2 linked regions of the Drosophila melanogaster genome follow. The protein of the gene in region 1 interacts with the protein of each later gene in a pairwise test. Each region holds a gene or a part of one and is shown on either strand. Other genes may lie near its edges.

Region 1 (3,966 bases):
CCATCCCCATCCCTATCCACATCCGCAGCCGTAGCCGCATCCAAGTACACCCACTGCCCGATTCACTTACTTAACAGGTGTGACAGCGGCAACAACGAGTCGGCTGCTGTCACTCGAACAAGTAAAGCCAAGTGAATAACTGTGACGATGACAAGGACGAAAGCAGGACACGTTTTAGCAGATAAATGCCAGGCACTTAAGTCATTTACAGCCGGCATTTGGATGTGGTATCCAACGTGGCGATGCAGCTTCAACCGACAGTTTTCAACAGTTGAAAACTTCCCGGAATAGCGGCTAGTTGGGATCCTCGAGACCAGCTGGGAAGTCCTTTATTTAAATTGTGTTGAAATATTCAAGTGTTTTCAGGGATGCAATTAAAAACCAAAAAAAAAAAGCAGTTGTAGCATGTACCTGCTGTAACAATACATGGGCTTTGCGGTTGGTTAGGGTTTCACGTAGTGACGAAACGCACATGAATATCACAAAACAAAAACTAGCATATGGACTTTGCTGGAATTAAATCAATATTCGTACAAATCGGTTTTAAGTCCAATATAAATGCAAAATTATTGTCTTCAGAAAATGCCCTATTTTATTTAAGAAAAAAGAACAAAGTTCTTCGGATATTAAGTTTTATTTTTCAATGGCAGTTAATATTAATTCAATTTTTAAATAAGCAAAATATATAAATCACTAAACCAAAATACAATAAAAATTTCGCACTATTCTTCGAATGTCGAATCATCTTTATTTGAAAACAACCTAAAGTTTTGTATGAGAATGCACGTAACGTTTACTACGATATATTTTAAAGCCTGGGCATAGTTTCTATGGATATTACCCTACATGATTTAAAGCTAAAAACATTGCCGCGTTCTACGCCAAGAAGGAATTTTCACAGTTCGTAGTCTTTGAGTGAGTTTTCACGCCTCTAAGACTGCTGAAATTCACTCTTGGTGAAGATGGTAGCGGGTATGATGATATGGCTCCTGGATATGAAGGGGCTTTGATTGCTGAATGAAATGAGAATGAGGATGCTGATGCTGATGCTGATGCTGGTGATGGTGAGGATGTGGCATCATCTGGTATCTGTGCATCATGGCCTGGTAGTGCTGCACCATGGCGGCATGGTGTTGATGGTCCATTATGGGGAAGTAGGCGCTGTGTGCCTTGATATATGGGCCGTTACCGTGCCCGTGCCCATAATATGGCATTCGCTGATAGGGATGACCTGTGACCTTGGGTCTCGCCCCCGTATTCTGCTGCCAATTGCTGCGGCGCAGGCGTCCCGTCGTCTCGCCAATGGACAGATCCTCGGCATACGGATCGAGTGCCCAGTAGTGGCCACGTCCAGGATCATCGAGAGCTCGCGGCACCCGAACGAAGAACGGATTGAGACTCAGGTTGTGCCGGATCGAGTTCTGCCAGACGCTCTTGCGGGTGCGATAGTACGGGAAGTTGTCCGCGATCCACTTGCAGATCCCGCTTAGGGTCAAACGCTTCTCGGAGCTGCTCCAGATGGCCATCACTATGAGGGCGCTGTAGGTGAAAGCCGGCTTTGCATTGCTCTTTGCAGCCATCGAATCCGAGCTGGAGTTGGAACTGGAGCTCGAGCATGAGCTGAAGCTGCTTCCTGAGTTGTGCTTCGAAATGGGGGACTCCTCCTTTTTGTCCACGGAGAGCAGCGATCGGATGGAGAAGCTGGACTGGAAGATTGGTGTCGTATCCATCGTAATAATATTGCAATATGTGTCACTGTTTGAGTTCGTAAAACGACTGTGACCAGTCCACCGGCCGCCGATCTATTTATACGAGAGGAAGAGGCTGAACTCGAGGATTACCCGTGTATCCTGGGACGCGGATTAGCGATCCATTCCCCTTTTAATCGCCGCGCAAACAGATTCATGAAAGCCTTCGGATTCATTCATTGATCCACATCTACGGGAACGGGAGTCGCAAACGTTTTCGGATTAGCGCTGGACTAGCGGTTTCTAAATTGGATTATTTCTACCTGACCCTGGAGCCATCGTCCTCGTCCTCCGTCCCTTAGCGCCTCCTGCATGGATGTCGTTTTTGGGTTTCATACCTTTTCACACTGGAAAAATACGGAATTTGTTGTAAGCCCTTTCAAGACGAATGGGATTTAGCTTCGGATGTCAACGTCACCATAATCATATTAGGAATATTTCTACTCAATTGCAATATTGGTACTTTTCTGACTGTAAACGCGATGATAATTACAAATATGCCTAATTTGCTGTCTTTATAATCAAATGGAGTTCTTTATATTTCCAAAATATTGAAATTCCGATTCCCTAGAAAATAATACGTTTTTCTGTTATTAATAAAAAACCAATAGGAAAGTTCTCAAAAATTACTCTGTTGTATTTGATCATTTCTTTTCCGGTATAATCTTTTATTTTAAGCATTCCCATGTGAATAAATTTCAGACTAATGTATTAATAAGATGTCGTGTTTTTCCACTTACAAATTTCTCATACAGCTGGATATATACTACGAGTACTATACACATGCTCTGGGTATCGTTATTTTAGAGAGACTACTAACCATTTATATCTTGATTAAAATGTATTTCAATTCTCTTCAAAACTGTATACTACTGTATAAAAAAATGGGAGTAAAAGTGGAATAACATCTTACATGCCAAAATTCAAAAACCAAGATATGTAATGAAGCCATATTCGAAATAAATGATATTATATATTATAGATATAATTTGTCAAAAATTCTAAAATCAAATGTTATTCAAACGGGAAAATTGTTATGAATTGTTCCGAAATTTTATGTTTAAACAAGAGAGAATGCTATGGTCGAGTTACCCGACTATCAGATACCAGTTACTCAGTTAGGGGGAATGGGAATAGATATTGGGGAATAGAATGAGAAAAATTGTTTCAAATTATTCAAAAGTAGGTGTAAGGAATGGCGTAACCAATGTGTTTTTGGTATGGCGGTAGAAATTTACAAAATAAACAATAAAACGAAGAAAAATCTACACATCTTTCAAAAGTGTGAGCGTGGCAGTAGTGGGCGGATGGTGGGCGTGCCGAAAAGTTGTTTGGCAAATCGATAAAATCTATAGAACTAACAAAAATGTAAAAGAACATCTTCTATAGTTCCTGAGATCGAGACGTTCATACGAAATGACCGACGGATGGACCAAATCGCCAGCTCGACACGGCTATTGATCCGGATCAAGAATGTATATACTTTATATCGAGTATACCCTTTTACTCTTCGAGTAACGAGTATAAAAATGTTTCACTTCCTTTGTCGCGTCTCGCAGCCGCCAGAATTTTGAAGACACAGTTCAACTATGCGCCACCGCAGCTATGCAGCCTTATCTTCGTTAACTAAGCTATCTCCCATCGCAGCGATTTGCCAAACAACTATTTGCCACGCCCACAAATCGGCCAAACCTTTCACGCCGTTGAACACAACGCTTTAGATAAAATAACGCTTTAAAAAAAAAATTTAAACAAAAGTGTGGGAATAATTATAAAAACCTTTTCATTTACCAGAAAGCTAAGTGGCGCTAATGATGATAAGGAGGAGATTGATTTGCGAAAAATGATTGTCATTGTAATTGCTGGTGGTGGTTCAAAATCGAACTTTTTCGGTGTAATTTGCAGCAATTTGCATAATTTGCGGCATAGGTGGCTTATTGGATGAATATAAAAAGGTCGGAACGCGGAGAGCTGCTTCAAAGAGGCGAACAACCATGGACATATCGAAGGTGGATTCAACGAGGGCTCTGGTTAACCACTGGCGCATCTTCAGGATTATGGGAATCCATCCGCCGGGCAAGAGGACCTTCTGGGGTCGCCACTACACGGCGTACTCCATGGTGTGGAACGTAACCTTCCACATCTGCATCTGGGTGTCCTTTTCGGTCAATCTCCTGCAGTCCAATTCGCTGGAGACTTTCTGCGAGAGCCTCTGCGT
Region 2 (5,706 bases), on another chromosome or scaffold:
TTAAGAAAATTTTTAAAGCTTATATATACATATAATATATAATCACAGTGTGTGTGTGTGCACAAGTCGATATGCGTGTGCAAATTAGATTTACTGGCATGTCAGATACGTGCCCATATTGATGGATCAGCTGCCTCTCAGCTGCCAGGTGGAAATCCCATTGTGGAAAAGTTAATTTTTATGTTCAAAGTTTTCCACCTGCCATCTAGTTAATAAACTTTCCGGGGGGAAACCTTCAGCATATATATAATTGGCAGTCTTCACATACATACATACTCGTTTTCGTTTGGATGCAAATTGAAGTGTAGCCTAATATTTGCACTAAATAACCGACGTATTTTAATTTCCTTAACTATTCGAGCACTTAATTCAGGTTATGAGTTTAAATGGAAAATTAAAAGCATCTGGTTGAAAAGCATCCGGGTGAAAATTAAAGATGGGGTGGGTGCAACTCATTAAATTAAGTTGTGCAAAACATCAAGTGGTAAAATAAATCTCATCTAAAATATAAAATAAATCTCGTTAGAACTCATTCCCGTGGGTAAAAGATAGTTATTTGTACAAACATGCAATGTCAATGTTTAATTTTTTGAATATGAAATAAGATTAATTAGACTGATAGTTAATATAAAATGATAATTAAAATAGGCTTTTTTTCCGCGGAGTGATTGCCATTATATTATGTAACTGAACATTGGTTGTGCTGGCGGCATCTTTTCGTAATTGTCGTGTAACAGGTGAAAGGAATGTGGCTGCTGAAAAACACTCAATAGATAATTAAATGCTTATAATATGAGTTCGTTCTAATTATCACCACAATTAGAATGTATTCTATTATATGTTTTTGATGTGCCCTTTAATGTGCGCACGTGAACGCCAGTGGGTAGGTTGAAATCCATTCAAATCCTCGACGGGTTCAGGAATACATATAATATATATGTATGTACATATATATAGGCTTAAGCCTTCCCAAGGAGCATATGCTGCCTGTTTGTCTTTTGTGCATAATTAATCACTGAGTGACGCCGCCGGGAGTTGAATTGTGTTGTGCTGACATGGCCATGCTTTTTTATCACTGCCACAGTCTCCTGGCCGCTAAATTTATCTCTTTTCTAGGAGTCGCCTTCGCGTCCCTGTCCTTGCAACATCCGGCAACATAAGCGATTCCCTGCGAGTGGGTGGACGTGAAGGCGACCAGGAGGTGAAAAGCTCTAGCCGGTAAAACGATGTTAATGTCAAGTAGATCTCGGAGCACGTCTTGCTGCGATAATTGTTGGCGTAAATCATGTCGAAGAGCAACAGAATTACGTCCCAGACAGACACATACTATCCTTGTGGGCATATTGTACACGAAGAAATCAATGTGTCATACTCACACTTTTATCTTTAGCCCGAGGGTACTTCACATTAAAAGAGTGATTTCGATCAACTTTAAAAAGTAACTATAGAATAAAATTCTTATTGTTGGATCTGAAATTAAAGCAAGCGAAAAAATAATAATAATACAGCCAAAAAGATGCTCTAAAACAAAGAAATAAGTAAAGGACAGACAGAAAGATTTCATTAGTCCGAAATTTGTCATTAACTTATTACGTTTTAATTACTCAACTTATCACTTGATTGATTACTCAACTTATCACTTGATCTATTTGATAGAAGTATTTCAAGTTACTGCAACATTTTCTCGCAGTGTAGTGTCTGCGCTAATGGATTGTGTCCTTCGCAAAGTTCGGGCATTTCCGCGGACATTTCTCTTTGCGGCCACAGGACGTAATTGAAATAAATATTTTTCTGTAGTGTTCCCTTCAGAGCGGTGGAATATTTTTGAAGAGCCACTTTATTGAAATTTGTTTGCTTATTTGCATTTCTTGTACTGGGAATTGATTGAAATTGAAGAATGTAAACTCAAGTAATACGGGGTATTTGCCAACATTTAAGGCATGGAATTCTAAAAGCCAGATTAAGTGTTGTGGCAAAAGGAAAAACAAAGTGTTGCATGGTTGATGCTGGTTCATGTAAGAGGCATTACTCAAATTAATGCGCACAGCAGCGGGTGAAAAATTATGCAAATCACGTAATTTTTATTTCGCCGTGTTGAAAAGTCAAGACGACATGCTTTTTGTTTCAAACGGCTGCTTTTAAGGGGGGTGGCCTATGTATTGTGCCCACTTTTATTGCAAACACGCGCGTAGGTTTCCCTTTTGCAGACAGAAGGTGCATGTATTACTGACACTTTGCGCCTTCTCCTAAACTTTATTTCGGTTTTATTGTTTTAAGCTTTCGTTTTGGGCTGCTGAATTATGTTATTTGCGAGCATTCTTTAAATAACGAATTTCCTTTACTTTTCAAATTACGCGCCCGCTGTGCAACCCTGCGCACGTTATCGATTGCCAGTGGGCATGCGCACAACTATCGATTACCGATGACAAACAGCTGTGTACCTATACTTATCCAATATGGCTGCAAGTAAAAAAAATTGTAACGCTGTGAAAAAACTGCAATTTGAATTGCATTTTCCGCTTGAGTATTAGATAGAAAAGTGCGAGAAATGTGAATTTGTGCAAACGAAAGTGGAACACTATCCGAAAATCAAGTGCGCGCCAAGAAATCGAAGCGAAAAAGTGAATATCGAAAAAGTCGCCGGTGCCCCGCCAAAAAAAAGAAGACTCCCCCACTCCACTTGAAAACATTTCTCTGCGGAAATAAGGAAAATACTGCGAAAATGGAAGCCGACATAACGCCCCTGGCGGAAACCAACGGAGAGCAGCGCCAAAATCCCCAGGAAAGTGCTCAAAACCAAGAGCAACCGCAACCGCGGCAGGATTTGGCGGGCAAGTCGGTGGGTTCCGCTGATGATGGCGTCTCCGGAACTGTGGGACAGATTATGGATTACCTCGAGGTGCGCCCGGCTTTAAAAGACTTGGAAAAGCTTGTGAAACTCATACATATATATATATATATGTTTGTTTATTTTTATTTATATTATAGGACGATGCCGGTGCAACTGCCGACCAGGACGCGGAGATGGGCGAGGCAGAGTATCTGGATGGCGAGATGCCGCAGGAGGATGAGAGCGAGACTCCGCAAACGGAGAAAGCCAATGAAGGTTGCCAGGAATCAAGCAATAAGAAGGATTTGCAAGAATCTGCAGCTAAAGATGATTTTTCCAAGGAAAAAAGTGGAGAGGATGGTGAAAAAGACACCGACAAGGAGAAGAAGGCAACTCATTTACATGAAGATAACAACGATGATGCCGAAAAGGATGGCGACGAGGCCGACGCAGAGGATGAAGACGATGTAGAGAAGCCAGAAGATGAGGATGGCACCGAAGAAGGCGACGAGGCCATTGAAGAAGATGAGGACGCTCTCGATGAAGATGAGGATCCCAACGAAGAAGTCGAGGAAATTGAACCAGATTTCGAGACTGGCACCGATGCAGAAGGTGAACTAATCACTGGCGATGAGCCGGGCGATCTGGCCGATGTGCCCATTAGGGAGCGCAAGAAAGAGGAACCCGTGGACGAAGACCAGTGCCGCGTTTGCACCAGCAAGGAAGAGCTAGTCTGCCTGTTTAAGAAGCAAATCGATGCCACGCCCGCGGACATGCTGCTGGTCATCTGTCCTAATGTCTCGATTTTGCCCAAGGACTTTATGCCGCAATTCATATGCACCAAGTGCATGGGCAGCCTTACCATTGCCATACAGCTGAGAAAGCAGCTGGAGACCACGGACCAGGAGCTGCGCAAGCGTTTGTCCCGAAGCAAGAATAAAGTGCGAAGACCCCGCGGCTATGTGGTCATAGACGCACCTGTCACCGATTCCAGTGAGGATGAGGATGAGCTCGATGATGAGTTCAAGGTATCCGATGTAGCCGGAACCACGAGTGCCGACAGCGATTCTGCCGATTCGGATGACAGTGAGAAGGAGAAAAAGAAGCCCGGACCACGTGGGCGTCCTCGAAAAAAGCCACTCAAGAGAGGCACGGACAGCGATGGGGAGCCTTCCAGCGCCCAAAAGAAGAAATACCAGCCCTCTTCGACGGCTTCAGTGGGCCCATTCGAGTGTCCCAACTGCGACTTGACGTTCTCGCGCAAACAATCCTATGTGCTGCATCGTAAGACTCACGAGAGAATAGAGCATGCCTGTCCCATCTGCGGCAAGAAGTTCAAGGTGGAGTGGGCCTATAAAACGCACATGCAACGGCACGAGCAGGAGCGCGCCCATTTCCGCTGCGAGCTGTGCCCCAAGATATTCCGACTGCGCGCGGAACTGAAGCACCATATGGCCCAGCGACACGACGAGCATGGCTTCATTTACGAGTGCAAGCGCTGCCAGCGGACGTTCCTCACCCAGCAGCGACTGCAGCGTCACCAGGCCGTCGGTTGTCAGCGGCACAAGGAGGATAGCGTTCGCATCAAGGAGGAGCAGTCGCGGTTCAAGCAGGAGTCGCGCAGCAAGGACGACCGCCATCATGGCAACAACAGCAGCAAACGCCGTCCCGGCGAAGGACGGGATCTTTTCAAGGCTGTGGCCCCACCAACAACCACCTATTGGAGCGATAGCTTCTCGGACTAAAAAAACCAAGGTGCGGCGGCTTGCGGATTTCAATTCAATAATTTCTAATGAACGATTTTAAGTTTCTCTAGCTGTAGGAAGAATTCAGTGCAAATAAATCACATTTGTAATAAATACAAAATAACACTAGTGGAAGTTTTGAGTACATGTAAACTTCTCAAGCTAAGTAAGTAAGCGAAAAGGCAAAATAAAAAGTTCGATTAATGGCAGATTGGAAAATATTGACTTAGACGCTAAGATTTTCATTTGTTCCTAAGGACACCATTAGATTATAAATACTTCAAACATATAAGATTCGCTGTTAAAATAAACACTATGTTTGGAATAAGTGCGTCGTAACTTACATGGAGTGCGCTGCTCCTCAGTGACCCACAATGCTTTCCTTTTGAACCCCTTTTAATTGGATCCCAAAGCGTTTGCTCGCCAAATGGCAGCACTTAGTGCCGCCGAGCTAAAGAACAACCAACTGCAGTTCTGCACAATCTTGGCCATAATGTGGCGTTCTAATGTTTATAATTTCGCTTGTGGAGCATAACTAGGAGTGTTTAACTACTGGGGATTACTTTGGACCCAAGCTGGGGGTCTTTAGTGTAGACTTGCAGCATATATGTGCATAAGCGGAGCACTAAGTGTGGTTACTCACAACTTTCAGATCCGTGTACAATTCTTATCAGGTATTTCAGAAAGGTTTGGTAAGAAAAATGCTGTAGTACTTCAAGCAACTAATTTGGACCACAAAATTTGCACTTTTCCAAGAAAGTTTTACTCATGGCCGGAAGGAAAACGAACTGAGTTGCAACGTTTTAGTTATAATTTTAAACTGTAAGCCAATAAACTAAGTTATTTGTGTAAGCCTAATTTGTAAGCCGTAATTTATGCAAAATTGTTAAGCTTTTCTTTTGGGTTTCTGTGGGAAGTTTTGTTGTGATTGCAGTGAGTTTTTAGGGCTAAATTTAAAACTCTTTAAATTGAATTGAAGACACACGTTTGACTTTAACATTTATTTACATAGCAATCGGGAATTGTTTGGGCAGGAAATCTGATGCACGTGCGAATGTTTCGGCAATGCTGCTGCACTACAAAGGTGTCTAATTGATCCGCCGCTCCGTGTGCGTGCCTAATTAGAAGTGG

The links.
Region 2: the proteins of fd19B (region 1) and CG12391 interact in a two-hybrid assay, tested with the Drosophila melanogaster proteins (one large-scale study listed by BioGRID).

Annotation. Positions count from the first base shown.
Region 1 is NC_004354.4:20,090,656-20,094,621, forward strand, and holds fd19B (forkhead domain 19B), read right to left. Parts: upstream 1,754-3,966; 5' UTR 1,731-1,753; coding exon 948-1,730; 3' UTR 773-947; downstream 1-772. Other genes in the region: Or19b (odorant receptor 19b), read left to right, coding at 3,743-3,966.
Region 2 is NT_033778.4:11,146,794-11,152,499, reverse strand, and holds CG12391 (uncharacterized protein), read left to right. Parts: upstream 1-2,431; 5' UTR 2,432-2,722; coding exon 2,723-2,899; intron 2,900-2,988; coding exon 2,989-4,575; 3' UTR 4,576-4,898; downstream 4,899-5,706. Other genes in the region: CG13231 (uncharacterized protein), read right to left, coding at 5,697-5,706.